Arabidopsis thaliana: one gene and its partners. The protein of the gene in region 1 interacts with the protein of each later gene in a pairwise test. Each region holds a gene or a part of one and is shown on either strand. Other genes may lie near its edges. The genes, in order: AT1G33760, RMR1, TIP and MYB14.

Region 1 (6,698 bases):
AGCCGAAAGTGAGAAACATGCTAATGTCGTCTCACAAGACTGACAAAGAGAGAATATGTCTCATACACTTGCTTATTTGCCTTGGTACTTTCCATTACTTTGAGAAGGAAATTGAAGAGATTCTAGAACAGGCTTTTCGGAAGTTGGACATGCTATTTACAGACGAAGATGATTTGGAGACAACTGCCATCATGTTTGAGGTTTTCAGATTATATGGACACAAGATTTCTTGTGGTAAGACATGCAGTTCCCATTATTACCATTTTTCAATGGGATGCATATTTTATACCATTACATATGTATTTAGCTATATACATATATAACATATATATATATATATCCTGGTGTCAATTTAGATGTGTTCGATAGATTCAAAGGTGTTGATGCCAAGTTCAAGGAACATCTAGTCAGTGATGTTCGGGGAATGCTACAGCTGTACGAAGCAGCGCATCTCGCAACACCCTTCGAAACTATATTGGACGAAGCCTTGAGTTTCACAAGGTATCACTTGGAATCTTTGGCCGGCCAACAAGCTACAGCTCCTCATATCTCAAGACATATACTTAACGCATTGTATAAACCTCGGTTTCTTAAGATGGAAATAATAGCTGCCCGGGAATATATTCATTTCTATCAAAAAGAAGGTCATGATGAGACATTGCTCAAGTTTGCGAAGCTCAACTTCAACTTTTGCCAGCTACATTACGTTAGAGAGCTAAAAACTCTCACCAAGTATGTTGGCCTACTTTTATTCATATTTCCCGGTGAATTTCTTATATGTACATCCTTTAGTACTTTACCAAAACTCATGAGATTCCGACTAAAAACAGAGAGATAACAAGTAGATAGATTTATATATCTTATACATTAATTTAGATCTCATCTTACTTTAGGCTTGACCTGTAGGATTGCCCATCTCGAATTAAATCCCTCTTTTAGATTTTTTTTTTTTTATCAGGCAACATACTCATGTCGGGTCAATTGGAATAACATCTGTTATCATATAATTTTTAGTGAGCTTTCAATTCAAAACCTGTAGGTAATATGTTGATTGGTATGTGTCTTTTATATTATATTTTAATATAATCTTAGATGTAAGATTCTTATAATATTTTCTATTTAATGTTTTTGTGGTTGAAGATGGTGGAAAGACATTGATCTTCCATATAAGCTACCTTACATCAGAGACAGGCTTCTAGAGACCTTTATCGGTGTCATGGCGGTGTATCTCGAGCCACACTATTCACTTGGGAGAATTATAGCCACTAAAGTTTCCCAAGTGATAGTAGTTATGGATGACACCTGTGATGCATATGGAACTTTCTCTGAAGTTAGAAGTCTTATTGATTCTTTGGAAAGGTAGTTTACTAAGTATGAATCATGTGGTCTTATAATGACGTCATTTTTTAACGAGCACATGCATGGGAAAATCCTTAGGTGGGATCCTGGTGCCATTGACAAACTACCGAGCTGTTTAAGAATCGTCATCCAAAGTATAGTTGAAACAATGGAAGATATTGAAAGAGAAATGAAGCCGCGAGGAAGATCCTCGAGTGTGCAAGACACCGTAGAAGAGGTACACCAACAATTTTAGGGTTTAGTTTTAATCAATGTCCATATAAATTAATGTTTGTGTTTAATATTGAGAATTTTGCAGATTAAGATCATGGGGAGAGCGTACGCTGAAATATCAAAATGGGCACGAGCAGGTCACGTTCCAACCTTTGATGACTATATTGAGCTTGGGCTTGACTCGTCAGGGATTAGATGCTTTGCAATGTACAGCTTTATATCGATGGAAGATTGTGAGGAGAATCAAACGAACGCGTGGTTCAAATCCAAACCCAAAATGTTACGAGCTTTAAGTGTTATATTTCGTCTTACAAACGACATAGCCGGCTTCGAGGAGGAGATGAGGAGAGGAGAAGTGGTTAATGGGGTGAACTGTTACGTTAAGCAACATAATGTTACCAAGGAATTGGCGGTTCGAGAAATTAAGAAGATGATTAGAGATAATTACAAGATAATGATGGAAGAGTTCTTGACGATAAAAAGTGTGTCACGTCCGATTCTGGTCCGGTGCTTCAACATTGTACGATTGGTCAATCTGTATTACGAGGAGGGTGATAATTTCACCAATCCCAATGGCAAGCTCAAAGATCTCATCACATCTTTGTTCTTCCATCCTCTTCCGCTTTGAAGACTTGGCTCCTTGCCGAAAAATTCATCTACATTTCTCTTTCCATTATTATTGATGATTGTTAATTTGCTCTATGCACATATTTTTCCATTAAATTTTAATTCCTGGGGTTTCAATTAGTTTTTACTATTTTAATTTATTTTGCATAGAAGTTTTTTTTATAACTTTCACTACCCACAACGACAAGGAAAGTTGACCAAAAGAATGAAATAATATCATAATTCATGTTTATATACGTTATACTATTCAATTCTTAATTCATGTTTATATACGTTAAACTATTCAATTCTTAATTATGTTTCTTTGCAAATAATATTAAATTACACACATGAGTTCTTGAACCAAGGAACGTATAAGTTCAAAAAATAGACTGGAAAGCAAAACTTTGTTATACTTGTTGAGTTCTTATGTAGGATCCAAATCTTGTAGATAAGCAACAATATATAATGGGCGGTGAGATTAAGACTGAAAGTATTTTTTTGACCACCGGATGGACCGTACGGATTTCCACAATTCGATACGGTGTGGTTGTTAGTGCCTTAGTGGCGGTGGTGACCATTATGCAGCCATTTAACTATTTAGGGTTGGAATTTGGCTCATGAGGTTTTACTACACATCAAGAAATTATTTGGAGACAGAGCATCGATCTTCTGCTGGTCGGGTTTTAGAATTTCATAAAATCAAATTTTGGTTAATTTAGATGGGTTTCTTTCCCCAATTCTTCGTTATGAACAATTCATTATTTTGGTCAACTTAATTGTCTATGACTCTATGGGCAGTTACATAATGTTACTATCATATTTGCTGTCAAGACTCTTGAGATATGGCATATATGGACTTTTGTACGAGAACCTAAAGTTCTAACCAACACATGATATAAAGGACTAATTGCTTTTCTTTTCATTTGGTCTTACAACAACAAAACACAATATACTACTTTGACTTAAAATAATTGATCTTTTATATGAAACACTAATTTATCTCAGTATGAACTATGAAATCTATTTCCTAGTTGAAAAGTTTAAATATTTTGAACTTTTTGATCAAGTTAAATATCTATAATCTAACTAAGGCCCAGAATATACCAAATATGAAATATATTTATCAAGGCCATGTCAATTTTCTTGGAAGGCATGTACAAAGTTTTTACTGAAAACATATTTGATGTGTAAAAAAATATTTCTAAAAAAATTTAGAACCCAAATCATATAAATATCAAACTTGTCTTCAATCAAAAAAATAATATTCAATCAGCGTTTTCTTTCAAATACACACAACACACTATTTGTACACGCTTAAAGACAGCTTTGCTAATGTACAATATCCATGTAAGTAATAGAGACCCATGCATGCATGACAGCATATTTCCACTTCACAAGTAACTACGTAGGAAGCTCACTTCACCTGAAACCAAACAAGCCATCCACAAATTCTATTCCCTCATTTATTGTCTTCTTTATTTCTCTATATATACAATTTCACTTAACCACTGACTCTATAACTCAAAACTTCTAAACTAATTCGCACAGTTCTATATACACTCACAAACACACACACACACAATATAGTGCTACTAAAATAACCTTGTATTAATTATGGAAAACACTTACGTTGGCCAACGAGATTACCGCTTCAACGTTAACCAGTTGTCCTACAGAGGCATTCGTCGGAGGAAATGGGGCAAATGGGTATCGGAGATCCGAGAACCCGGTAAGAAAACAAGGATTTGGCTTGGAAGCTACGAGACGGCCGAGATGGCTGCAGCGGCCTACGATGCTGCGGCTCTTCACCTCCGAGGACGTGGGACCAATCTCAACTTTCCGGAACTCGTCGACAGTTTTCCTCGGCCGGAAAGCTCTAGTTCGGAGCACATTCAAGCGGCTGCACAAGATGCAGCACTTATGTTTAAACCAGGTAGGTTGAGTGAACCAGCTCTCGAGTCTGGTCAAGGACTTTCTCGAGTAGGATTGTCTCCGGATCAGATTCAAGCGATTAATGAGTCTCCATTAGACTCGCCGAGGATGGGGTGGATGCAGGATTTGGAAGTTGCTGACTACGAAGAATTATACGGACAATTTTTTGGTCAGCACGATAGGGATGAGTTTTTTGAAATGCAGCAATTTCAGTCCATATGGAATTCTAATAATTGATATACGTTCGCTTAATTGCTTAACCATTTGATTTTTTTTTTAATAATGTCATATCATCAACCAAGGTTTTTCGATTATATTCAGTAAAGTATAATAAATTTTCGACCCTTACTGTTTTTCTTGGGTTCAATTTGTAATCTCTTAACAATGATGATGTCATAAATACCAATATGATTAATTCAAATTTTCAATATATATGTAATGTTTTGGTTCCTTGTCAGTCAGATAGTATCATATGGTTTATACGAGAAATAAATATAAACCAAGGAAAAAACTCAATCCAAGAAAAAAAAATGTTATCTTATAAAAACTTAGAAAAAAGGGTGGTTACCTTGTGCTTCGTCTTCGGTTTTCGTTGTGGTATTCGTTAAATTGGAATAAGACTAACTCCGAAAAATAGGTAAGATTATAGACCAAAAACCTGAAACTCCTATGGTTTATTAAAAACAAAATTATTTGATGAAAGTCCATTATGTAGACACATATAACCCATAATATATACACACGAGCTGACGTGCACGTACCAATTCGTACTATGGCCGCCTCAAAAGTACAGGTTTATTCCATATTATAGTGAGCATGAGTCCGTTGAAAAGCTTTGATTACCTAAAGATATACTATAATCAGTATCAATAACAACTGTTGCAGTCAATATTATATTAGTATGAAATGTTTTAATTGTCCCATACGTTCAGTTTTCTGTTAGGCCTAATTGCGTGAAATTATAAATTAAAGTTTTAATTAGATCATAATGTAAAAGCATGAATTTGACTCTTTAGACACGTTTAAAAAAGCAAATTTCGAGACTCCAGTAAGTGATGATGACTAGAAAATTCTTTTATTAAATATAAATTAGAATAATCGCAATAGCGTTGGTATGGTACACTCCGTGTGGGGACAGAAGAGACGATTCCAATATGCCGTCAGAATCTCCTGTGGACCTACTATACATTGACATTTCAGCTTCAGCAAACACTTTCTTATCCTTAATATTATCTTCAAAAGTTTTGATATGATTTTTTGTTAACCGGCTAAATAAATACTTTAAAGAACTTCCTTATATTAATTGATACGATGATGATCAATCTTTTTTCATTTTTTTGTGGGTACAATGATGATTAATTCTTAGTATCAAAATGTGATGGATATGGTGATATAAGTGTGATTCTATTCTATAATCCACTATATGTAGGTTATTAATGAAACATTGTTTGAAGAATTACTGTACAAGTTCTCGTAGATCATTTGAGATCGTGGTCAACTTCATTTTTTACAATGCCTTACAACTTTCAGACAGGGCCGGCCCTGAAAATTAATGGGCCATAGCAATTTGATAATTAGTCTTTGTTTCGCTGTCAGAGGTTTATGACCATCGAAAACAATGATAGGTTGAAATGTGTAAGTGTAACGTCATGTTTGTTTGTAGTGAATTTAACATGAATTAAAGCTTGAGAGACTCATTTCTGAATATATACGGAGAGGTAGATTTTTGAATATATACAAAATCTGAACTAAAAATTACGGATAAAATACGATTAAGGAAAAGATGAATACGGAGAGGTGGAAGTTGATTTCTTTCTTTAATTCAATAGTTTTTTTTGTCTCTCATTATGGCAGTTCTTATGAGATTTTGAATCCTACGATACCATAATCACGACACTCAAATTTATGAACTGGTATCAGTATCTCTGTCATACCCTGGAGACTTAGTTTATATACAACGAGGATGTTGATAAATAACAATTGATGCAATGCAATGAGCCTATTGAAATTTTGCTGGCAAATTAAAAAATAATTTGATAATTTACCACATGTTGTAATGCAGAAAATAGGTCTCTCCATGCCATGTGTAAGCTTTTAAGTAAAAAATTTGACAATAAAAAAAAATACAATAAATTTGTGAATTGGAGAAGGGCGTTGGTCTCTGATTGGTTGATGAGATATTTTAGATATTTATCTCACCGTTATGAGTTCAAACTTAATTATTTTATACCAAAATTCATCATATCTACATATATATTTTTGCAGCTATTTTGTGAAATAAATCCTATAATTGGAACTTATTTACAATACGTACCACTGGATTTTAATGTTTGTTTTTGATAATTAGAAAAAAAATCTTCAAATTAAATATTTGACATTTAACAATCTTCCCTAAATCTCTCCACATTAACTACACGATTAGTTACTAAAATAAAACTTCCAAAATATTTAATATCATTTAATTACTACAAAATAAATGGTTTTTTTACGGGACGGATTGGTGGGACGGGTTTGACAGGACGTTACTTAATAACAATTGTAAACTATAAAATAAAAATATTTTATAGATAGATACAATTTGCAAA
Region 2 (8,222 bases), on another chromosome or scaffold:
GAATTGAATCTCCGTGAGTATAGATTGAAGGATCAAGGCCATTCGCCTCTAGAAAGCTAAGGAAACTCTCCGGTAACTGTAGCTTGGACGTTTCTTCCATGAGAAACCCGAGAGAGAGAGAGAGAGAAGTGTTCGGTCGGAAAATTAATTAAGTCGGAGAATCGCCGGGCGAGAACAGAGAAGATAAGGGCTTAGGCTGAAGCCCAAAGCCTTTTTGTATGTATACTCAAAAAGCCCAAACGTTTTGACCGATGAAACAAACAAAGGCTTGTTACTTAGTTTTTACACTTTTACTTGTTCATCTTTTTTTTTTTGGTTTTCACTTATAGAGAAACACAGCTTTTATTGAATTTGGTACACGAAAGTTTTGATTACAAGAAACTGGAATTTTAAATTGAAAATGATTACTACATCACACAGGCAGTTATATTATTTGATTAAGAAAAGAAGAGAATCTTAAGATTATTAATTAGCAGATGGCTCCTCCTCCTCCGTGTTGATGGGAAAGCTGTGATCCACCCAAGCCAAGTAGCCACCTCCCACGTTTCTCACTTTCTTGTAACCCTATTTTTTTATGTATATATGAATTGATTCTTTGAGATTAAACACACAAGTAGGAGTAAATTATGTATGTAAACTAGGGACTATTATACACTTACTGCAGCAACAAGTTCAGTTGTGGCTTTTAAGGATCTGGCTCCACTCTGACAACCCTGTTTGTATCAATATCATTTTCCAGATTTTATCATCGTTTTCACCGGCAGATTTTAATTCTTGTGGGTGTGATGAGGAAGAAAAGAGTTACCACAAGGATATCATCAGCTGGGTTTAGAAGAGAAGATACTTGCTCCAAGAACTCTTGATTCTTCACTCTACCTAAGAGTAGAGATCACAAGGCTTTAACTCATGTACTGGTTGATATCTCTAATTAAAGGTGATTGATATTTGATTTACCTTGAGGTGTGTTGAGCATGTAGGGAATGTTGACGATCTTAGCTGCCTCACAATGGCCTCTCCTAAACTCGTCCTGAGTCCTGCCATGTGCAAGGATTTTTCATTAACAACCGCAGCAGCTGGTACATGCATGGTGATATGATAGAATAGATCAGAAGCTCACCTAACGTCAAGATATTGATGCCCAGACTGGAGGAGAGTCTTGGCTTGGCTCACATCTACACTAACAACTTCTTCTGCCTTTGTGCTGGAGGAGATTGATTGAGACATCTTCTTCTCTACCTCTTCTTGTCAAACAAAAAGATGAAGAAGCTTCAGGAAGAGAGCAGAGAGTAATAAATAGGACCAAACACAATAATATTGTTTTAATATTGTTCTATCTTCCACTTATACACATGCATGGCCAATATAAAAATAATGGTATATGATTCAACAATTAGAAATTTGTTTCCAATTCCATACGCAAGTAAATGAAATCTACAATAAAGAATATAAGATAATAGTCTTCTTAGACAGCTATGGTAAGATAGGCCCCAAAGCCTGCATAGAAAACGTGTTCACTGATTAGAGATGAGAAGGAAATGTTGGCTGAATTTAGTAATCAAAAGAAGTTGAGTATGTAATAGAAAGTTTTGGTGATGGAATTGCGCAACTAACAAACCCATGAACGAGTCATCGTATTGGATGAGTCGTTAGGTAGAGATGAGGATGACGTGTTCTTTTCTTATTATTACTACAGACAAGACAAAATCAAAGCCACGTTCAATGGATTCCATTCCCCCATGTAAGGGAATCAGATTCAATATTCATATTATACAAACTTTAGGCAAAGAAATTATCAACAAGATAACATTAGAGATTTGCCTGGATCGGAGAGAGAAAATCTGATTAGACCAACATTTGTTTTCTATCAATTTGTTTGCATATCTGTACTATCACACACATTTTTTCAATCTATAACACACACACACACACAATGATCAAATGTACACATGACTCAGAGCGTATGTAAATGTACACATGCAAAGAAAAAGAGGCAAAGCAACTCATATCTTTTTGATCTGGGAATCCAGCAAAGCACGACCAGTATGGCAGATCCGGTCCCTTTACCTAAACTTATCCCACCATGATTAACCATTCAATATAAGATGCAAACCTGGACCTGATCCAGGTAACCGAGCACTGATATGAGTGTTCAGCTGCTAAGCCGATAATAACTCTAACGGCTTTGACTGGATTGGGCAAAGGCAAATCTACTCGTACTTGTATCTGTTCTCGGACTCTCTCGTTTATGTACCTGCAACAAAACAACACAAACAGTGTATTGAACCCAACGCAAAAACAACAAAATAACTACTGAAAGGATTTATACATTTCAGTCTAACAGGATCACCTCAGAAGACATAGTCTCGGTTCTTATGTCATGCTTGCACACAGGGCAAGATGTACCCCATTTTGTCAACCAAGAGTCGATGCAATTCAAGTGAAAAGCTGCATAAGAGCTTCAAATCAACCAACTGCTATGAATTACCCCCACTTACATAAACTAAAAAAGGTCAAATCTTTAATTTATTCTTCTGATGTACATATTCGACCCATCATATCATTCGAAGCAATGAGTAATACCAAAAAGTTCGCATTCGGTGCTTACCTATCAAACTGGAATTGACAGAAACGGAATATATTGTACCTTCAACCCTAAAACAGAGGAATTTATGCTAGAAAGAAATCTATTTTATAAAGTTAGAATCTAAGAGAAACCTATCAAAGTCTTCCTAGAATAGTAAGCACATGTTTCAATCCTGTGAAGGGAAGATCTGTGTCTCATAAATATACATTTCCAAGACCTCAATGAACACATTAAGGGTGGCAAGTTGCCAGTTTATTTCCACAGAAGAATAGGAGTAAGTACCATGTTGGCAGGGGAGAAGTCTGAGGCTTTCTCCAAATCTGTAATCCTCGAGACATATAGCACATGTTTCCCCGGCCTTGTGGTGAGCAGAATCAGTGAAGGTGAAGCAGGGGAGTGTGTGGACGAGCTTTGCATCTAACCTGATGGTCCTGGTGTGCCTCCCTCGCCATTGGGTCCAGTGTCTGGGTGCAAAGAAGGCAATCAACAGGAAAGTGACTATAAGAAGGAGAGAGAAGAAGGAGATGGCCAACACAGTCCAAGCGCTCCCTCTGTCTGGCGGATTAAGGCAGCATTCACCATCTCGGCCTCTCGCGTACTTTCTCAAAATCTCACCGGCGACATTTGAAACGAAGACTGCATCAACTGTAATGTCCTGAGGGTTCACCTTCACTGTGCAAAACAGATGTTGGTCAATCTCCAAACTTATGGGGGCGTTGACTAAATTAAATAACTCCAATGAAATTCAGCTCAACCCTAGCTCATCAGGAGAAGAAAAGATGGAATTTTAAACTTGGGTGGGAGGCAAAAGGCTTACTGACGATGAGATCTTCGTTGTCAATGTTGTCATAGACAATCACAGCTTGAAAACCTGAGTTCTGGGCATTGAGCAGCTTATCCTCAAAAGAACATTCGCCTCTGATTATCAAAGCGAACTTAGTAGTTCTGTGTTGCGTCCAGTTGGATGCGGCGGCGTGGAGAAGCGGTGAGCAACCGTCGAGAGGATCTGCGACGTATAGAGCTCCACAGATTCCGTTTTTGGTCACGGAGCCGTCTGAGAATCAAAATCAACTTCTTTTTAACCAGATTGTTCGAGAAATTGTTTCGGATAAGGAAAAAGGAAGAGGGGGAGAAATTGACCAAATTTGGCTGGGAGATCGGCAAAAGAGGCGGAGATGGAATTGAGGACAACAGTGGCGAGTGAGACTCGTAACAGAGAGGAGAGAAAAGGAGCTGCAACTAGTAGACAGCTTGAGACGACGAGTCTCATCTCTCTCTCTTTTCGCTTTCTCGGTCGATCGATGGCTTTTCAGTTTCAGGCTGTCGCCGAAATGCATTGGTTTCTTCACCAGAGAGAACCTTCTACTCGTCTCAGAGGCTTTAAAGATTAGTTCGTTAATTTATATTTTATATACGGAATAAAAACGACGACGTACAAACAAAGCCTCCTTTGCAAGCAAACAACCCCCAAGTCAAATGAAGAGAACAAAACAGTTGCAATGATGTAAATGACTTGTTGTTGAGATTTTTATACTAAAATGTTACTAGCTCAAAGATTTGCTTCTATTCTCTGTAAAGACGTGGTTTAATTATCTCTATATTGATTGATTTGTGTATTATCAAAGAAAGGGAGATTTTTTCCCAAAACTATTTGTTAAATAAAATTAAAGAAAAGGTAAATGACTATTGTCAAAACTCAAAACAGATCAACTTCAATTTTAATGTTGACATCAAAGTAGAAGAAAAAAAGATTTAATAAAGTACTATTTTAGGGTCAAGATTTTAATTAAATTTGTAGGAAAATAAGATTATTGTAGAACCTAATTAATTATTACATATGGTGAAATGACAATCTAGTCACAGTAAAACAATAGAGAGACTCTAACAAAGACCGACGGATCTGAGCAAAAACAAACGATAAGGATTTGGTCTTTTGTTATGACCCTTGTTTTGCTCTCTCTCCATTTTCTTGTTATAAGTTTCCTCCACACCCTGTAAGAAAGAAAAACATCTGAAAACTCTGCCATCGGAAAATGGAGAAACCGGGTATGTCTTTATTGAAAGGATCACTTTGTGTTATTGTTTTTCTTCTTCTGTTGTCGTTGGTTGAGAGCGTCAAAGGCGGGGGATACGTGAAGTATGGAACCGAAGCTAAAGTGGTTCCGGGGAAACTAAATGTTCATCTTGTTCCGCATTCGCATGACGATGTCGGCTGGTTGAAAACTGTTGATCAGTACTACGTAGGATCTAACAACAGAATCCAGGTATGTTATCTACAGATGAATGATGAATCATATATATGTATGTATGTAGAGACGAGTCTAACGTACTATATATCCCAAATGAATTGTGAGTTTCAGAACGCTTGCGTGAGGAACGTCCTAGACTCGGTGGTGGATTCTCTACTTCGTGATCCCAATAGAAAGTTTGTGTTTGCGGAAATGGTAAAACATTAATAATGGTTTTGTTCATAAAACCATAATATATGTTTTCTTCTCTTATGTGAACATCAATGTACATGAAAAAGGCCTTCTTTACGCGTTGGTGGGAAGAACAAAGCCCCGAGAGACAAGAGCAAGTGAGGAGACTAGTGAAATCCGGGCAACTAGAGTTTGTGTAAGTAGGTCACGACCTTAATTTTATCATTTTGGCTACCTAGCGTTGATACAATTCACACAATCAATGTGCAGAAATGGAGGATGGGCTATGAATGATGAAGCAACGTGCCATTACATAGATATGATAGACCAAACCACAAAGGGGCATCGGTTTATAAAGCAACAGTTCAACACAACTCCACGTGCTGCTTGGCAAATCGATCCCTTTGGTCATTCCTCTGTTCAAGCTTACCTCCTTGGAGCAGAGGTCCCTTCTAATCTATTTATTTCTTTATTTCCTTATGAGTGTGTTTTAATTTGGTGGGGGTGCAGTTAGGGTTGGATTCTGTGCATTTCGCGAGAATCGATTACCAAGACAGAGAAAAGCGAAAGGCCGAGAAATCACTTGAAGTCATCTGGAGAGGATCAAAAACACTGGATTCTTCTTCTCAGATATTCACCAATATCTTCTTTGTTCATTACGGCCCTCCCACTGGCTTTCACTATGAAGTCACCGACGATTACGTACCCCTCCAGGTTCGCTTCTTCTTTCTCCCGTTTGGTTTTTGGTTTAGGGGAATTCGGTTCACTCGTCATTTTGCAGGACAACCCTCGTTTCGATGGCTATAACATTAAGGAGGCGGTTAATGATTTCGTCAATGCTTCTCTTGTTTATGTAAGTCTTGAGTAGTATTTTTTTTTTTTTCAAGTGTGTGTGTAATCTTGGATTAATTCTGAAAGTAGTCAATGTGGACATAGGCTAATGTGAGTCGAGGGAACCATGTGATGTGGACAATGGGCGATGATTTTCAGTACCAGTTCGCCGAGTCTTGGTTCAGACAGATGGACAGACTTATCCATTATGTTAACAAGGTTTTCATATCTCTTGCTTGCTGTGATTGCTCAATATCAATCTCGCTGTCTTTGGAGACTAGATTCTCATCACCAATAATTCCATTCAACAGGATGGCCGTGTGAACGCCTTGTACTCCACACCATCTCTCTATGTTGATGCCAAGAATGTTGCCAATGTTACTTGGCCTCTCAAGACTCATGACTTTTTCCCGTGAGTGCCTTTAGTACTGTCACCAAATAAATTTACATATTCCTTTTGTTCAACAACTTGATTTTCTCAATAGTCAATAATTTCCCCCTACTCTCTGCAGATATGCGGATCGGGCATACGCTTACTGGACTGGCTACTTCACCAGCCGTCCTGCTCTTAAACGATATGTTCGGGCTCTTAGCGGATACTACATGGTATCAAACTGCATCTTACGGAGTCCGATTTCCCATTTTCTTAGTGAAATTCAAAATGAATTTACATGGCCTTGCATTTGTCTGTTTTTTTTCCAAAACAGGCTGCAAGGCAACTTGAATTTCTGGTGGGCAAGAACTCTGGAGGTCCAAACACTTACAGTCTTGGGGATGCTTTAGGGATAGCGCAGCACCATGATGCTGTCACTGGAACTGCCAAGCAGCATGTAACAAATGATTACATGAAACGCCTTGCTCTTGGTGCTTCTGAGGTAAGATACTATATATGAAAACTCTTTTCTTTTTTGTCTTTTTTCTTATATCAGTAATCATCTAATTATTCCGTAGGCAGAAGCTGTGGTGAATTCTGCGCTGGCATGCCTAATGAACAAAGCACCAAAAGGTGGCTGCACAAAGCCTGCAATAGCATTCAGCCAGGTTAAATCTCCAAGAAACTCATTTTGGATTTCATTTTTTTTACAGAAATGTGATTGAAGAATCCCTTTCATGGTGATGACTAGTGTGGGAGTTATTTCTTTCCTCTATTTAGAGTAAACGATTATTGTGTGTCTCTATATAGTAATCACCTGGTTTATATATTCTTTCTTGGAATCAAATCAGCAGTGCTCGTTGATGAATATCAGCTATTGCCCATCGACAGAAGAAACCCTTCCAGGCCAGAAGAGCTTGGTAATTCCATCACATCTCTCATCAATCATTATGATATAGCTCAGATTCTCCAACTATCTCAGTGTTTGATCTTCAGATTCTGGTGGCGTATAACTCCCTTGGATGGAACCGTACAGAAATCATCAGGATTCCGGTTATATTTCATGCCTCTGTTTACTTGCTCCTTTGAGATCAAATTCTTTAATGTATTACTAAAGAGTTAGGGTATGTAACAGGTCAATGATGCAGGTCTAAGTGTGGAAGATTCATCTGGAAACACCCTTGATGCTCAATACATCCCCATGGATAATGTCACGAGCAACCTCAGAAGTTTCTACACAAAAGCTTATTTAGGAATATCTTCCCTGCAGCGTCCAAAGTATTGGCTCGTGTTTAAAGCAAAGGTGCCACCACTTGGTTGGAACACATTCTTCATATCTAAAGCATCCGCACAAGGTATGCAGACACAGGCTCATGCTATCCATAGAAAGTTAAACAGTTGCCTTTCCCTCATAATTCATTTTTTTTTTATCATTCATGATATAGGAAGCAACAATCACAAACACTCTTCAGTGATGCTTAGTCCGATGAACAATACGACTGAAATTGGTCCAGGAAATCTAAAGATGGTGTTTTCTTCAGACTCTGGTCGTCTCGAACGGATGTACAACTCCAGAACAGGAGTAATGTTTCGTTTACTCCTTCACACTGAATCTTTTTGGTTCATTCATTTGGTTAGACAAAATATTCAGTCACAATTGCTTTTAATAAATATCTTTCAGGCTGACATAAAGGTGGATCAGAACTATTTCTGGTATGCTTCAAATGTTGGGGACGCAAAAGATCCCCAGGTTTCTGGTGCATATATATTTCGACCTAATGGTTCCTTGGCGTATCCTGTTTCGTCGTCCAAAGTGAGTCTATGAATACTCTAAGAGCATTGAGATGCTGAGGTTCTATCATCAAGATATTAGATCATAATTTTTTTTAGCTTTTCTACACAGCATCGTTATGTAGGAAGCAGATAATTGTCTTTGTAGTTTAGAAATACAGATAAACCCATAAAATCTATATGATAAAAGTAATCCATGTAAATATTTGTTTGGAAGATATGT
Region 3 (8,341 bases), on another chromosome or scaffold:
AACTATATCTTTTTTACTTTTATAATTTTGTTTTGTTTTTGGAATTATAATCCTTTTTATAGTCTTTGTGAAGTAATCTAATTTTATTTTAAAAACTTATAACAGAAAAAGAGGTAAAAAGGTCGGGTCCATGTTTACATGTGCCCAAACACCTGGAGCTGACTCAGCTTACACAATATGCTGAATGTATACATTTTTGTGCGTATCTATGAGTCCATCTTTTATCCAAATATGATTTAACAAAAAAGTACATTTATTTCCATATTTCTTGGTGAGTTTGGCAATAATTTTTAATAAGTCTTAAAGAGTTACAAAATTTTAAATTTAGTATATCCACTGTATTGCTTATAAGAATGAAAGTATTCGTAAATAACAAAAATCTCATTTTTACTATGTAATTGTTTGGAGTGGATTAGGTAATGAAATTGAAGAATTTTTCAGGCAAATGATTTTTTTTTTGTTACAGAGGTAAATGATATTTTTAGTGTTTGTTATAAAAATATTAAAACGGTACAATAGAAATGTATTTTTTTCATAATAACCTGCAACGAAATTTTTTTTAATGTAAAATGTTGAATATCCGTTTCGAACGAATAAAAGTAACATATAAAACAATTTTTCATACACAACAGCTGAAAAATGAATCACTTGTATTTTACCTTGTGTCCATCTCTAAATTAGTTTATACTTTCTATATTATGCTACAAACTAAAATTGGTCTCCATCGTTTGGTAAAACTGATGATATTATCACTTTACTTGTAGTAAAAAATTCCTCTAAAACTGCGAATTTGGACTTAACTTTTTGGTATACCTGCTATAAAATGAACTTTAAGTAATAATAATTGACATGTAATTTGTATCCGATCGTTTTCACAGTTTGAGTCTCAATGTATAATTTACTTTTGACGCGCACTATCTTTATGGGTTTCAACTATTGTTTTATCCAAATGGACCTGAAAAAATCTCAATGTTGAGACTTGAGTGGTTTGTATAACTCAAAACTCAGCAGATGTTATCGCAGATCAAAAATCAAGACAATAAATAACCTCTGGTTTTTTATAGGTTAATTTTACGTACTAATGGTTTTTGCATTTGTTAAATAAAATTGATTTATGGAAGATTTTTCAGATCGTTCTGGAATTAACATGAAGTTCCTTTTATACCAACCGGCAATATGCGACTTTAATCTGATTCAAAAGTATATCCAAAAAGTCAAAAATACAAAAAGCCATATTGACTAAACCATATAAAAAAATAACTCTATGCCACAACCGAATTAGTTTCTCTGCTAAAATAAGTTTATAGACTCTCTTTTCTTGTCATCCGTTTTTAATAAAACTTAAAAGAAATTTATAGACTTTTGTTTTATGTAATGTGCCATGTTAATGATCAAGCATCGAGTCATTCATATCCACTATTGTATATTTACGCTTTAAAAGTGTGCATCACCTTCTTTGGTCATTATAAATTTATAATCGAAATATTAAATTGATTAAAGAACATGATACGTGAATTCTAAAAATAGTTGAGATAAAGTTAGTTGGTGTTCGGTGCATCGCATGTGGAGACATGAGTCCAACTGCAATGGCGTTAAGATTCGAATGCACATATTTTATGCATTTACGATGTTTTTATATATTGGAAAGAATTGTATTTTCTTTTCTTACTCACACATAATTTTGAGTTTTATTCAAAGTATGATACAACATTGATATATACTACTTATATCAGCTAACACATTTAAAAAGTCTAATAATTGTTTTGGTACTTACGTATTTTGGGTTTTATTCCAAAGCAACACGACAGTAATATTGATACAAACTGCTTCCTATGTCTTATTGTAAGTGTTGTTTAATTTTTTTTACAGATATCAAGAAAACAACTAAATTTTGAAATTTTATTCTTGGTCCATACAATTAAGTAGTAAGGATACAATTATTCTTGTAGAAGCCGGATTTGCCAGAAGAGGACCGGCCATCTTTGCTAACAAAGCCAAAAAGATGTCGGGCAAAAGCCCAAAACTTGGGACGGCAGTTTACCAGAATAATCCGGTCGGCAGAATTCAACAGTTCCTCTCTCTAAAAGATATGAAGGAGAGAAAAGAGAGGTGATCATATTATTTGAACTATTCAAATATGCATTCTTTTGTCCAAAAATTTTGTAATATATTACTGGGCATACTTAATGCCATAAAATACCCAAATGACATGTTTAACAGTCCATACCCTCAATCAAACCGTCCTATCATACTAAACATGTTTAATGATATACGAAATAAACACACCTCTAATAAATATCTCTACCCGGTCGGTTCGTACTAACATGTTTGACACCGTTTTCATTACGGTGCTACCATTCGAACTCGTAGTTTGTTTCTGATTGTACAAGGCTACTAAAAATGTCAAAAACGCAATCTCAAGACACATGTGGTCAGGAATAAAAAAATTTCCAAACATTACCATCTGAATATTATGAGTCGTCGTACATGTTAACTACAAGTCTACTACACTCCTAAACCGACCATGGTTAAGCTTAAGCCGACAAAAACAACAACAATAACAACAGATGCAGAACCAGGCCAAAACCCCTGTTATACACACAAATCCGCGCTCTCTCCACCCGTAAAAACCACTTTCTTTATTCTTACTATATGAATTGATCGGAACAAACATCACATTCAGCGGATTTATGCGACTAGACTGCAGACCGACATCACACACACAACCGCTACCACACCGACTCTGAAAAGCCCTCTGTATGAACATCCCATGGCTGCAATTTTCTTGAATATGAAACTAGTCCTGCTCTTTGATCTTGTGAAATTTCCACATCCTTTCGTCATAGTTTCCGTTGTTGTGTCCTTAACCTATATACATTTTATCGCATAAATATAAGGATCATAAATTGTAATACATGAGAAGGTATGAAAACAAACTTCTTCTCACCTCTTTCTTGATAAATTGAAGTTGTGTACTGTCAGTTTCTGACTTGTGGCTGTTAAGGTTAACCTGAAGACGCAGCCTTCTTGAGGCATCGCCCTGCATTACAAACTGCTCAGCACAACCCGGGGCTTGTGCTCGTCGAGCTCTAATCTTAATTCCTCTCTTAGATTCATCATTGATCTTGTTGCATGAGCTAAGATTCTGTGGCTCATATGGGATCTGTTCTGGCTCATAGGGAATGTCAAGAAAAGAATCCAAGAACTTGGACATATATTCATCCGCATCATTTGTACCGTACTGAGTCTGAATGTAATCCTCATTGTGGTTTTTGAACAATTCACTAGACTCAGATTGTAAGCCATTGAAAGAGGAACCGAGCTCAGATTGCACCTGAGAGTGCAACGGAGAGAACAGCTTCGGGGAATCAAACTCCATAAACGAGAGCCAATCGATATCGTCAAGCTGTTGAGTAAAATGAAGTTTGTAAGTTTACAAAGCGGTTGTACCGCCTCCTGTAATGAAAAGAATGTATTTTGTTCATCCTTACCCCGGTGGTTGTAACCTCAGGGACAGAGTATCCACTACGACATTCGCTGGGGATTACAAGAGAAGACTCTGCGACGTCACAAGGATTAGTCTCTTCTGTTTTAGGGAAAACAGGAGATACCTCAGACATTTCAACCTCGTCCACAACAGTTGGAGACGATACCGCTGGTTCAACTTCACATGACTTTGACTCTTCTGGTTCAGCAGCTCCGTTCACAATATCTTGCTTCTTAAACAACTTACAAACAACAAACGGATTCTGCAACCAAAAACAATCAAACAAACACAATCAGAAACACAAAAGACCTACACACACAAGTTAATGCCATCATTTGCCAAGTTGGTTTTTACCTGGCCAGACTTTGTTCCATCAAGATCCTTCTCAGTAGCACGATACTCATGCATAATCCAACAAGTTCGTGTCCCTTTAGGAGCACGACCTGTATAAAACACTAGAGTCCTCTTAACACCTATAATCTTAGTCTTTCCTGATTTGATCTTACGGTCTTTTCCCGTCGCCTTCCAGTATCCAGCCACAGTAGCTCTATTCATTCGACTTCCACTCGGATATTTCCGGTCCAAAGGACAAAAGAAGAGCCACTCTGAGTCTGTTGTCTTCACCACAGAAAAATCTACACCACAAATACTAAAGTATAAATCTTTACTCAAATTCACTAAGTCCACTACCTAAGCTAAGAAGTTATTGATCATATTGTTCCAAATTCAAACATGCATAAACCGGAATTGAAGCCTGGGAATTGCTAAACCGAGACTAAAGAGCTAAAGATGAATCAACGAATTGATTTGATGAAGAAAGGAATTACCAGGCAAATCCCAAGGCTCCCATTTGCAGATATCGATCTCACGAATTACTCTAACGTCGTTATCGTGACCGTTGATCTTGAGCCGGAGATAGTACCGGACTAACTCTTCGTCCGTTGGACTAAATCTGAACCCAACCGGTAGTGAAGCGAGCGATAGTACTTCCATGTCTTCTTTCATAGTTGCGTGAGACTTTGAGAATTCGAGAGGAAAAGAAAAAATCACAAATTCGACTTCAAGGTGATATCTAAAATGAATTTGGATCAAAGATGCGATTCAAAGGTATATAGAAGAAAACTAAGAAAAAACCAGATTCCAGAATTTGATGAAGTACGAAAAGAAAAAACCCTAAAATTTGACACGATTTGGTAAAGTGGAGAAGAAGGAGATGTGACACGATTTGGTCAGACAAGAGAGATATCAAAGACAAAGAGATGAAAAAGTGGCGCGTGGATAGGCGTACCACTGTTTCCCAGAAAGTCATAAAACACAAAACCACGTTCGTTACGCGTAAAAGGCAAAACAGAATGTAAATACCTATTTTACCCCTGAAGTATTGCAGTAAAATAGTTACGGAAATAGGGGTTATATGAGTCAAAAGGTGAGGATGTCTGAACGAGAGATGTCACCTAGCGAATCATATATTGACACGTTGATGCTATAAAGGAAGCTTCGTGATAGTTGTACGGAAGTTAAAGAAGAATTAAATAAACTTAATTGGTATCATATTGATTTACCAATATGAAACAGTTTACACAACTGGCCAGCCCATCTTACTAATAGTGTTTGTTGTTAAAGCCCAATAGATGAGAACCCAATTCAACCATTTTTTTTTCTTGGTCGTGTGAAGTCTGAATCAATTTATTTAAACCAAATAATGTAAATCAAATAGGTTTAAACTTTAAAACGTTTGATATCGAAGTCCGTTGGTACTCAAAACTAAACCTCAAAAACAGAGAAGAAAGTAGCGAGCGAAAAGGAAGATCTTATTTATCTAAACTTAACGTTCGGCCGTTTACAAGATATGTTTACAGCCAAGCCTCGTTTTAAGAGATACAACAAGAATAAAACTACACAAGTCAATTGTCGAGCTTATGTCTTTGAATCCGAATGAGAATGTTCTTGTACTATTCTCGTCCGACTTCAGGTGTCCTTTTCTGGCATTCCTCTGTCAATATTTATAGTACTTCAATGAAAGTACACAGTACCATTTTCTGAGCGATATGAAACTTCTATGGCGGCTGATCCTTTCCAGAAAATGGGCCTCATCTCGCAATGGGCTGCGGCTTTCTCAGGGGGGCTGGTCTTCATCATTCTTAACTGAGGTTTTCAATGACTCTTTGTTTGGGCCTCCGAATGTTAAATGGGGCGAAGCCCATATCCAACAAAGTTTATCTAAGTCATTGCTTTTTGTTTTGTTTTTGGGTTTAGACCTCTGCGTTTCTAGTTTGAGGATAGTCTCTTATAGTGTTTGATTAGTTGGAATGTAATCTTTTACAACCATAATTGTTTTTGTGAAGACCAAATTGTTGTGAATTAGTTTTAGAAAAAAAAAAAATCTTGTGACCGTAAATCTTATATTTCTACAACCTAAAACCATATGTTGTTATAAGTTCTATAAGTTATATTTTTAATTTAATCTCTCTTTTATTTTAATTTTATTTCCTCATGATCATTTTTTATGTGTTGCTTATATAATGTACACTAGGCACTAGATGGATATATACTAATAGTATAAATACCATGTATAGTTTTGTTTGTTAATGTATACTTATGTATAAATTTTGAACAACATTTGAACAAAAAATTTATATGTATATATTCTTTTCAACTAATATGTAGTTATTATCCGACTAACATATAAACTATTTTACATGTTTATATAGATTCCATTTAACCTATATGTGCATCACAAAATTTGTGTTGTTGTTTATTATATAGTTTGGTTAACTATAATATTTTATAAAATATTTACTAATCATATTTTAAGATACGACTAATAAATTTACTTCTAAGACTTTATATCCCTAATATCTACACGTATAACAATAAAATACACGGTTGCATTTTACACGCTGACGGTCAAAATTTTACAGCGAATAATTTACGGTGACATGCCAACCAATCACTTAGTTACTAAAGACGTTTACTTTCTATCTCAAAGTTCAGTTTCTGGAAATATTTTATTTTCCGTTGTTTAAAATCATAAATGTATGTAGCTTTTAAAATAGTTTTTGGCTTTCGAATTTTAGTTTGTAATTTTTTTTTTTGGTGTAAATGTTAGTTGTTTGAAAAATTTGAATGGTAATTAGATGTGGATTTTAGTTTAGTTTTAATTTATTTGAAAAACAAAGAAAAAATATTAAAACTTGAATATGTGGAAATCTCTCTTTTTATTTTTATTTTATTTAGAAAATTATGTATTTCCTCATGATCCTACTTAGTGGCTATGTTCTATCTGATCAAAATTTAAGAAGTCACCAAAACTACAAGTTGTTAAATTACTAAATATCTCATGATGATCCGACCCTACCCAATTGCTCTTTTCATTTTATTATTTTGTTACACTACCAATATTAAACATATCGAATCAAGATTGTGCGAAACACAAATTGTCCCACGGTATATCGTGGGTTAAATCCTATATCAACGTTAGTTAAAAAAATATAGAAAACCACCCACTATATATATAGTGTTTTAAAAAAAGATTAAAAATAAAAGCTCCAAAAATAAATACATATTTAGTTTTACTATTATGGATTCTTAACATTTGTCCTAACTACAAAAGGGTTAAAGAGATCTCAAACAATTAATGTGGTTGACAGAAAAAATAAGAAAAATGTTACCTCCGAATACCATATATTATAAACGGGGAAAGAAAAAGCTATAGAAGTAGAATTTATGAACATTTTTGATCCAAGTCCATATTTGTAATTTGTTCTAAATTCTTCGTAACTTTTAAAGTAAAGGGTTGAAAATAAACATGGAATATATATGATCCATATATACCATATGCATATGCAAAATTACCAAAAAAATATATATATCTTTGACATCAGTAAAATTGACAATTTTACGGTTAAATGACAACAAATTTCTTCACTTGGTTACAGAGTGACACTTTGACACGGTTCAACTACCATTGAACCTGAATCAATACAACTTACAAGATTTGTATGTTCCATTGAACAAAACTCTCTTCAATATATCTGAACCCCTAACCATTATCAAATTAAAAAAAAACTACTAAACATTCTGAGCTAAGCTTCTAATCTCGGGCTCCTCCGCGTCTGCGGCTCCAACGCTACATTTCATCGAGTCAAACGTTAAATCAAGGAAGTACAACGAACAAACAAGAACGCAACAAGTTATGAACATTGGGATGGGACCAAAGATCCATAGGAATAAAGGCGAGGAGAAGTAGAACGCTCGTAGTCCTAACGACCAGAAGTAACTCCCACGGTTAACCGTTGCAGCCACATAATCTTGGTTTATCATAAGACTACCATTACCACGACCACCTGAAGAAACAGCCATGAGCTGTTTAAAGGGGACATTGATAAGGATGCTTGCATGGCTGTAATAACGAATTGATTGGACATTGAGGAGAAACGCGACTAGGAAACACACGAGGATTGCGAAGAACTTGAGCGAGAAGGCTCGGTCGCTTTTGTCTCCAAACACAAACCAGACTGATCGCTCTCCTGTAGCGCTAGTCATTAGTACCGCGATTAGTGAACATAACATTATTGCGGTTGATGCTAATAGAGTTGATGCCATTATGTTGTTCCTTAGCGTTTGAACCGCTAAAACGCCGTTTTTGGATGAGTCCTGTTTACAATAGTTGTTAACGGAACATAAGTTAGTACAAGAAATCTCAAATCCAACAAAAAGTGAAAAAAATTGGTGGAGGAAATAATGTAATTATAAACATTTTTTTCAAAAAAAAGTTTCCCAAAAATGCAAAGCATCTTTTGAGTGTTGTTAGCTTTCACACTTGCGGATTCATTTAGTAAGGAAATGTTCAAA
Region 4 (7,463 bases), on another chromosome or scaffold:
GCCTCTCACAAGTAAATGAGATGAAATAACAGTATTGGAGACACTAGAAATAAGATCAATCAGCTTCAACTTCTCTACTGCCCAATATGTAGCCGCCAAGAAAATAAATAACTTAAACGCGGTCCAGGAATGCCATAACAGACACTGGCTACTCATCCTATTAACCTAACGGTACCACAAAACTCAATCTTAAGAGGTTCTCACTAAAAAACTTTCCTGAACGAACTCGAGAAGCTGTCTCTAAACTTCTAAACAGAGCTTAAGTTGTATAAGACCCCTGAATCTCTGAGCTAACCACCAAGAAGCAGAGTTAGCTCACCTTGTCATCCACATCCGTGAAATTTCGAACGTAAGACACTTCATATCCTAGATGCTTAAGGTACCTGCCTAATTCCCAATCAAATTCAAAAGAACAAAATCATAAAAAAATCATAACTTTCCATAAACCCAAGAAGTTTTAAAGCTTATTTCTCCAAGTCGATACCTCAAGAGTACATCGAAAGTGACGTAGACTCGTGCGTGTCCAATGTGACTGAGATCGTAAGCAGTGACACCGCAAACGTACATTCCAACTTTACCTTCGACCTTAGGCTTAAACAGCTCCTTCTTCCGGCTCATCGTGTTGTGCAGCCACAGCTCCTTCCCACCGGAAATTGGTGCTCCACCGTCCGTTAATGATGACAGAGTCGTGAAACAGCGACGTAGTTGAGTTTCTTTTCCGGGTCTGAGGGGAAATTGGATTCTGAATTGAGACTTGGGAAGAGAAGAGAAGCGTATTGGAGTGAAGGGTCTACATGATTTGAAGAGATTAAGGACAGAAGAAGCCATTGGTGTGGAACGATAAGCTCCTTCCGAAGAAGATGATGAAATCTCGGATAGGAAAAAGCGGCGAGTGATTAGCTAAAACCTCTGAACTAATTACGGTTTGTGTAAACCGGTTTTATTTTCCGGTTCGGTTTAATCAAGACTTGTTAGAGGAGCACCATCTTGGTTGTTGACGAAATTTTTTAAAATGTCTAGGTTTTTCAAATAATATATGGGATTGTCTATTAGCCACTAATGGAATATTGAAGGAAAAAAGAATGTTTTAGTGATGATGATATTGGAATTAAAATTAAAATTTAAAGAACCATATTTCGATGTGATATTACGTATGCGTAATCGTTAACTATAATCGTTTAATCTACTCACGTTTTTGTCATTTTGATTTTCTTAAATTTTTAAGTACGACCGGAATGGTGTTATTGATGTTTTCGTAGGAACCATCCATAGGTTTTAATTAAAGGTCTACAAAATATAGTTTAAAAGTCCTTAATATTTTGTAAATAATATCTAGTTGTCTACTACAGGACCTTGGACCTTATATGTTGAAGTTTTGCAAAACATTGATCAACTAGAACAAAAAAAATTATCACAAAAAGTTTAGGGCAAAACCCTAGTGTAGATCAACCAGCTAAAACAAAGTTAAGGAGTGAGGTTGGCTCGGCGATAGTATGTTCTCTAATAAGTTCTTGGGTTTATAATTAGGACAAAAGGAACCATTGTTATATGTTCAAAACGTTTAACAATGGTTCCTTTTGTCCTGATTATAAACCAGGATGAAGTTATTAGTCTTTACACACTTAGGAGTTCATTTTAGATTGAAAACCACAATTCAAGTCGACCCATTTCTAATTTCTTTTTACTTCAGTTAACATTTATTTCTTTAGAAACCAAACTAACCGAAATGGCCCTCTTAAAAGTTTTATTTCTTTCATATTATATACATGTTTGAATCTGGGTGGTAACATGGTAAAGTGATGTTACATGTTCAAACTAACCATTGCTACATGTCTTGATGTTATCTTAAATGATGTTTATTATCAAAATGCATGTAAGATATTCATATTTACATGCAATCTCAAAAGTCTACAAACATAGACAGAGAGGAAGAAAAAGAAAAGGAATTTATTCATTTGGATTACAAAAAGACTTTCAAAGTCTTAACGACAAAAACAACACAAAATCAAAATCAAAATTAAAACTCGGGTATGTCGGAAAATTCCTCAATTCTACGATTACTAGTGAAAACATCAAACCAAAACTCCATGTCATCATTATACAACTTAGAATTACTATAGCTACATTTTTTACTATTTCTATCGATCAATCCTTCCCAATCCTCTATCTTCTTCTCATTCTTATTCGAATTATCTACCGATATGACGTCCGACCAAAAACTATCATCTATCAAGGCAGAAATATCCTCGTACGACATAATATCGTCCTTGTTATCATTTGAAATATCAAATGTTGTAATACTATTAGAAAATTGTTGTAAAGAGGCTGTGTCGACTATCACAGATCCTTTGTCTTCATTTGTGGTCTCGTTAATTCCGTTAACGTCTTTGGTGTCTCCGCCATTGTTTAGATTTTTGCTGAGTCTTTTCTTCAAATGAGTGTGCCAAACATTTTTTATTTCATTGTCGGTTCGTCCCGGCAATTTTGCAGCAATCGCAGACCATCTAAATTAATTAAGAAACAAACAAAAAACAAAACACTTTTTAAAAAAGCGCCCCACGTATAATAGTATTGTATGGATTTCATCAATTTCTTACTTTATATTGCTTTTTAGTTGCTCAAAAACAGAAGAAAACAACAAAAGAAAAGCTTATACATGCCATATGTTTTGCATTGATCAAAGTGCATATCCTTTTTTAATAGTAATATAGAAGATCTTGTTTCTGTTTTTTTTTTAAAGTATATTTGAAAACAAATTAATGAAGTCTTTGGTTTGGTTTGAGACAGAGGAAATCACGGACAGGAATCTCCTTACCACCCCCATGGTGTTAAAATATTTTGCAAATTGTTACATAAATAATCATTTATTAACTTAGACTGGGTAATACTCACTTCTCAGAGAGTCAGTGTAATGCAAAGTGGAAAAAGGAAAAAGGAAGTTGACATTACAAAAAAAAAAAGAAACGTCGACCCTAAAACTGTTTGATTTCTCAATCACTCTTTAGGGGAAAAAAGAAGACAAACCTGTTGCCTAAGCTTTCATGCAGATTGATAATAGTTTGTTCTTCTTGAGGAGTGAAATTGCCACGTTTAATGTCTGGTCTAAGATAATTGATCCAACGAAGTCTGCAACTTTTCCCACATCTAAGTAAACCTAAACAAATTGCACAAAAACACCAACCAAAATTGCTTCATTTTCAAGAATCATTAATAGATAATCAATATACAAAGTAAAATGTAAAAAGGAAACTCACCTGCGTGTTTTGGGAGAGCTCGCCAATTAGAATGACCATAAAGATGAATATAATTGATCAAGATTTGATCTTCTTCAGGAGTCCATGGTCCTCTCTTCACCCCCATTTTCTCACAACATGGTGCTCTTCCCATTCTTTTTTCCGTTGCCCCCTCAAGAAAAAAAACACTCAGAAAAAGAAAAACAAAATGGTCTTCAATTGAGTAAAATGATTAGAAGGACAAGTGTTGAATGGGTATGAAGTTTATGAGAGCTAAAGAAGCCAAATGCTTGAAGGAAGTATGCGATGTCGACGTTTAGTGTGTTATTATATATACACACATATTATTATTATATAATCACAATGCAACCGTGGGACAACTCCAAGTTGAAATTTTCTCATACTAATTTTGATCTACACAGTCCAAAGTTTTTAACCTTTTTCCTTTGAACTTTTTTTTTAGATTCATTAAAAAAAAAACTTTTTTCTAATGTATTTTAATCTGTTTTGATGAGGTCGACGAATACCACTGGAGCCTCGATGTCCTGTAACTCCTGTTGTGTAAAGATTGCCTATAATTCAGGTGCCATTCAGTAGTAAAATATTTAACGGTTAATCAGTTCGACTCAGGCCAAAAGGATTCTCTTTATATATCACCAGATAGGGTCCAAAACTTTCTATTTCGGGATATTTGCAATATTTTTGAGATGCAACACGCAACCAGGGAAACGAGTGTGTGATGAGAAGCAAAACGCAAACATCACTCTACTTATGCAATTATTGCCCTGAATTATCATGTTCTAGGGACGCTAGTTTCACTAAGCATATGAGTCACATGATTCATATGAAAGATCGACATATGGTCGACCTGTGTACCCACTTCAAAAGTTAATGACCCGATATCTAAATCTATTATTGAAAACCACTGTTATACAAGCTATTATTGAAAACCACTGGTATACAAGCCATGATCCGTTTACTTGATTGGTTATGACAAATCTTAATTACTATTAAATATATCTATCATATATGTTTCATATTCTTTTTGGAACAACTTTATTGGATAAGTTGGTTTTGATATGTAGTCTTTTTTTTTTTTTTTTTTTTTTGGACGACTGGTTTTGATATGTAGTCTAAATGTTTAATATGGTGTGTTTGTATTTCACAAGCTTGCTCCATTCTAGTTTACCCGGACTCCCGCTCGGAGCCTCGGATTACGGAGTTATATAAAAAAGATATTAAGCAAAAAATGCTCCAATATAAATAATAAGAAATTAGGAAATAAAATAATATAAAACATTATGAGAGGAAAGAAAGGTTCAAATTATATATGCATAAAAATGTCAAAGAAAGAGGCTCATAGTGCTCAATTCCGATCAAATCATGGGCCAAAAATAATCAAACTTTTAATCTCAATCAAGCTTGTTGGGTGACCTATAAGTCAATAAGAAACATTAAAAGTTTCATATTTTTCTATGCGCATATTAAACACTTACACTATTTTCTTTCTTAATGTATATAATACCGTTACGATTAATTAAAAAATAGGTATGTAGAGCCAAAACAATTGTGGTGTCAAGAGGGAAAATCATAGACATCGAAGTAGGTACGGTACGTACGTAAAGGGGTTCCTCTTTTCTAATATGATTCAGAGAATCAGAGGTCATATTGTTAACAAAAAATTTTTATGAAATGATTTATTAGCTAGAATATGATTTGATGACTCCACTTTTTGGTCATTGTTTTCCCGCTTTCTTTTAATGTTAAATATGACTTGATACTACATCTGAATTGTTTTGGTCATATGAATCTTTAATTTCGAAAGAGTATTTATAATTTTACTTTGTAAATACAAATTTAAATTTATTAAATTACCGGTGAGTTAGTAATTAAAATAAAATAGACAACCAGATTATTTTGAAACACGTCAATTATTCATAGTGTCATACCGTAAAAAAAAAACAGAAATGTCTTTCTTACGGTATATGTCATTACGTAAGATAATTACAACCATGAGATCGTAAAATGTATGAAATTGTCGTCAATTGATATTTAGTGATATGGTTCTTGGCTTCTTTCAATTGCACACCTTCACTCACCATTACAACATTTACTTTTGAGTTAAACTATTCGTTTGTCTCTGTCAAAAGCAACTTTTGTATACTGTTTCAAATTAAACGTATTTAGACCAAGATTACAACGTTTTAAAAAGAATAGACTAAAACAAAACGAAGATCGTCGATATCTAATTCCATCATTACCAAGATCTTGCCCTTTTTCACAATTTTTTTTTTCTCTTTCCGTTTTCTTTTTGGGGTTTCATTTTCTAATACAACGAGGGTTATCTTCTCTTACAACACTACTCCAATATAATTGTGGAGTTCCCATGTTTTTAATGCAAGTGTTTTGTTTGATAATTGATAAATTCAAATGGATCGTGACCTAACGAAATCTAGATATTTGTGGGTCCATTCAACTACTAACTTTGTCGCTTCTTTTTGTAATTTTCCAAGGGTCGGCTGATTTGCATTATTGATTATACATGCATGTCAAAAGTAAAGAAGCCTTAAACATTTCACTAGTTAATATTTAAAAAGGTGTTACTTATCTTCTTCAATCAGATCCAACTAGCTATCCCTAAAATAAAATGTCTCAACTAAATTTTGAAATCTGTATAAGAATAACAAAGTAAACATTTTCATCACTTAACAAATTGCTAAATAATCATGAAAGGTTGAAATGTTAATTTTAATACATTAATGACATTTTTATTTTCTGTAGTTTTTTTTATTTATTAACAACATGCATAATGATAATTTGAAATTAAGTTTGGTCTAAGTCTAACCAAACCTGAAACACAACTTAACCAACAAAATCTTTTACCTCCTCTCATGCTCTATCAGAATCTTACTAGTTATGTGTCCAGTAGGCAGTAGCATTGGCTAACCCTCGTATAAGGTAGTTCTGATAATTGCATTTATCAAATATTATATGTAACAACATGCAACAAAAGTGATATATTTGGGACATTTTCACTGATCAAAATATCCCAAAATGAAGACTAAGGAAGGGTCCAGGTCTAAGGAAAAATAGAGCCCGTACACAAGATTTGACCAAGAGAACTATTTTAACTTTAAATAAATATATATATATATATATATCCATAAAAAGCATTAATCAGATTCCATTTTGATTGATATATATGATAAAATATGTAAACTTACAATGGCAAAACAAAAGTACAAACGAGGACAAGAACCGTACCTTCAAACTTTTGTTTCACCTAACAATCTCACTCTAATCTAATCCATCTAAGTCTTCAAAGTACTAGATTGTGGATTCATGATCTGGATAAAGACTTCTTACGCCTACAAATTCGTGTTTATACTTGAAACAATAAAAAATTACAATAGCAAAATTACTCGAAACTCGGGAGCTACCAAGCAAATCTTGTCCCCGTGCCATCGAGAAATCTATCAGTATACCATCCTTTAGCTTGCACTTGAGATAAAAATGGATTGAAGACATCGTTCATTTTGTCATACGCGTCTTGCAATATAATGTCATCAGGGTCATTATATATCTTTGTCATTGACTTGACATATGCTGCAACTAACCACCCTCGCAATGCATCTTCACCGGTTGCATCGTGCTCTAAGACCATATCGGTCCATGACTTTCCATGACTCAATAGAAACTTCTCTTCTACAAACACTTGTTTTAGTCTTTGTACCTCAGAAGGCTTCACAGCTTTATGGAGAGCCCTTCCCACTTTTACATTTCCTGCGTCTTGGATTGGTCTCTCGGGGAACATTAGGTCTTCTTGGAATCTTAAATCAGGAGGGCTTGGGACTTTACCAGTCTGAGAAGATACAACAACACCTCTTATGTAATTAAAAGAAATCAACAAGATGGTTTACAGAAAAATTGAACAAAAGATGATGCTAATTACCTTGAGAAAATTAGCCACAATCAAAGCGGTTCGCTGTGGATTCAGTGTGTTGATTGGTACCCCTCGCATTTGTTCTACAACGCTATACACATGTACAACCGAAAGAATTGACCCAACCACCAACTGCAGATATCAGCCTTTTCATAATAGAGTTGCAATCCAAACAAATAGAAACTGCATTTTGAAATAGAGAGTAACGATGTAGCAGAATGACATTACCTTTCCCTCCATTGATGAACATATTGTGGACGCAAGTTGAATACCAGCACCTATCCCGG

What was found.
Region 2: the proteins of AT1G33760 (region 1) and RMR1 interact in a two-hybrid assay, tested with the Arabidopsis thaliana proteins (one large-scale study listed by BioGRID).
Region 3: the proteins of AT1G33760 (region 1) and TIP interact in a two-hybrid assay, tested with the Arabidopsis thaliana proteins (one large-scale study listed by BioGRID).
Region 4: the proteins of AT1G33760 (region 1) and MYB14 interact in a two-hybrid assay, tested with the Arabidopsis thaliana proteins (one large-scale study listed by BioGRID).

What each region holds. Positions count from the first base shown.
Region 1 is NC_003070.9:12,234,149-12,240,846, forward strand, and holds AT1G33760 (Integrase-type DNA-binding superfamily protein), read left to right. Parts: upstream 1-3,398; 5' UTR 3,399-3,795; coding exon 3,796-4,350; 3' UTR 4,351-4,562; downstream 4,563-6,698. Other genes in the region: AT1G33750 (Terpenoid cyclases/Protein prenyltransferases superfamily protein), read left to right, coding at 1-234, 357-732, 1,141-1,359, 1,438-1,576, 1,658-2,200.
Region 2 is NC_003076.8:26,440,830-26,449,051, reverse strand, and holds RMR1 (receptor homology region transmembrane domain ring H2 motif protein 1), read right to left. Parts: upstream 3,967-8,222; 5' UTR 3,855-3,966; coding exon 3,725-3,854; intron 3,639-3,724; coding exon 3,402-3,638; intron 3,257-3,401; coding exon 2,867-3,256; intron 2,446-2,866; coding exon 2,348-2,445; coding exon of another isoform or gene 2,330-2,347; exon of another isoform or gene 2,252-2,329; coding exon 2,174-2,251; 3' UTR 1,619-2,173; downstream 1-1,618. Other genes in the region: AT5G66180 (S-adenosyl-L-methionine-dependent methyltransferases superfamily protein), read right to left, coding at 1-100; STR18 (sulfurtransferase 18), read right to left, coding at 466-564, 654-713, 806-876, 955-1,034, 1,118-1,224; AT5G66150 (Glycosyl hydrolase family 38 protein), read left to right, coding at 4,618-4,848, 4,945-5,028, 5,112-5,200, 5,275-5,449, 5,515-5,718, 5,786-5,857, 5,941-6,054, 6,147-6,247 and 9 more. UniProt on the Arabidopsis thaliana protein: Involved in the trafficking of vacuolar proteins. Functions probably as a sorting receptor for protein trafficking to the protein storage vacuole (PSV) by binding the C-terminal vacuolar sorting determinant (VSD) of vacuolar-sorted proteins.
Region 3 is NC_003076.8:8,414,232-8,422,572, forward strand, and holds TIP (TCV-interacting protein), read right to left. Parts: upstream 4,846-8,341; 5' UTR 4,493-4,845; coding exon 4,315-4,492; intron 4,123-4,314; coding exon 3,842-4,122; intron 3,750-3,841; coding exon 3,492-3,749; intron 3,407-3,491; coding exon 2,948-3,406; intron 2,869-2,947; coding exon 2,689-2,868; 3' UTR 2,144-2,688; downstream 1-2,143. Other genes in the region: AT5G24600 (TRP-like ion channel protein (Protein of unknown function, DUF599)), read right to left, coding at 7,559-8,143.
Region 4 is NC_003071.7:13,284,789-13,292,251, forward strand, and holds MYB14 (myb domain protein 14), read right to left. Parts: upstream 3,593-7,463; 5' UTR 3,388-3,592; coding exon 3,255-3,387; intron 3,155-3,254; coding exon 3,025-3,154; intron 2,505-3,024; coding exon 2,018-2,504; 3' UTR 1,893-2,017; downstream 1-1,892. Other genes in the region: SYCO ARATH (Cysteinyl-tRNA synthetase, class Ia family protein), read right to left, coding at 320-383, 485-828; RUS2 (root UVB sensitive protein (Protein of unknown function, DUF647)), read right to left, coding at 6,670-7,095, 7,186-7,308, 7,405-7,463.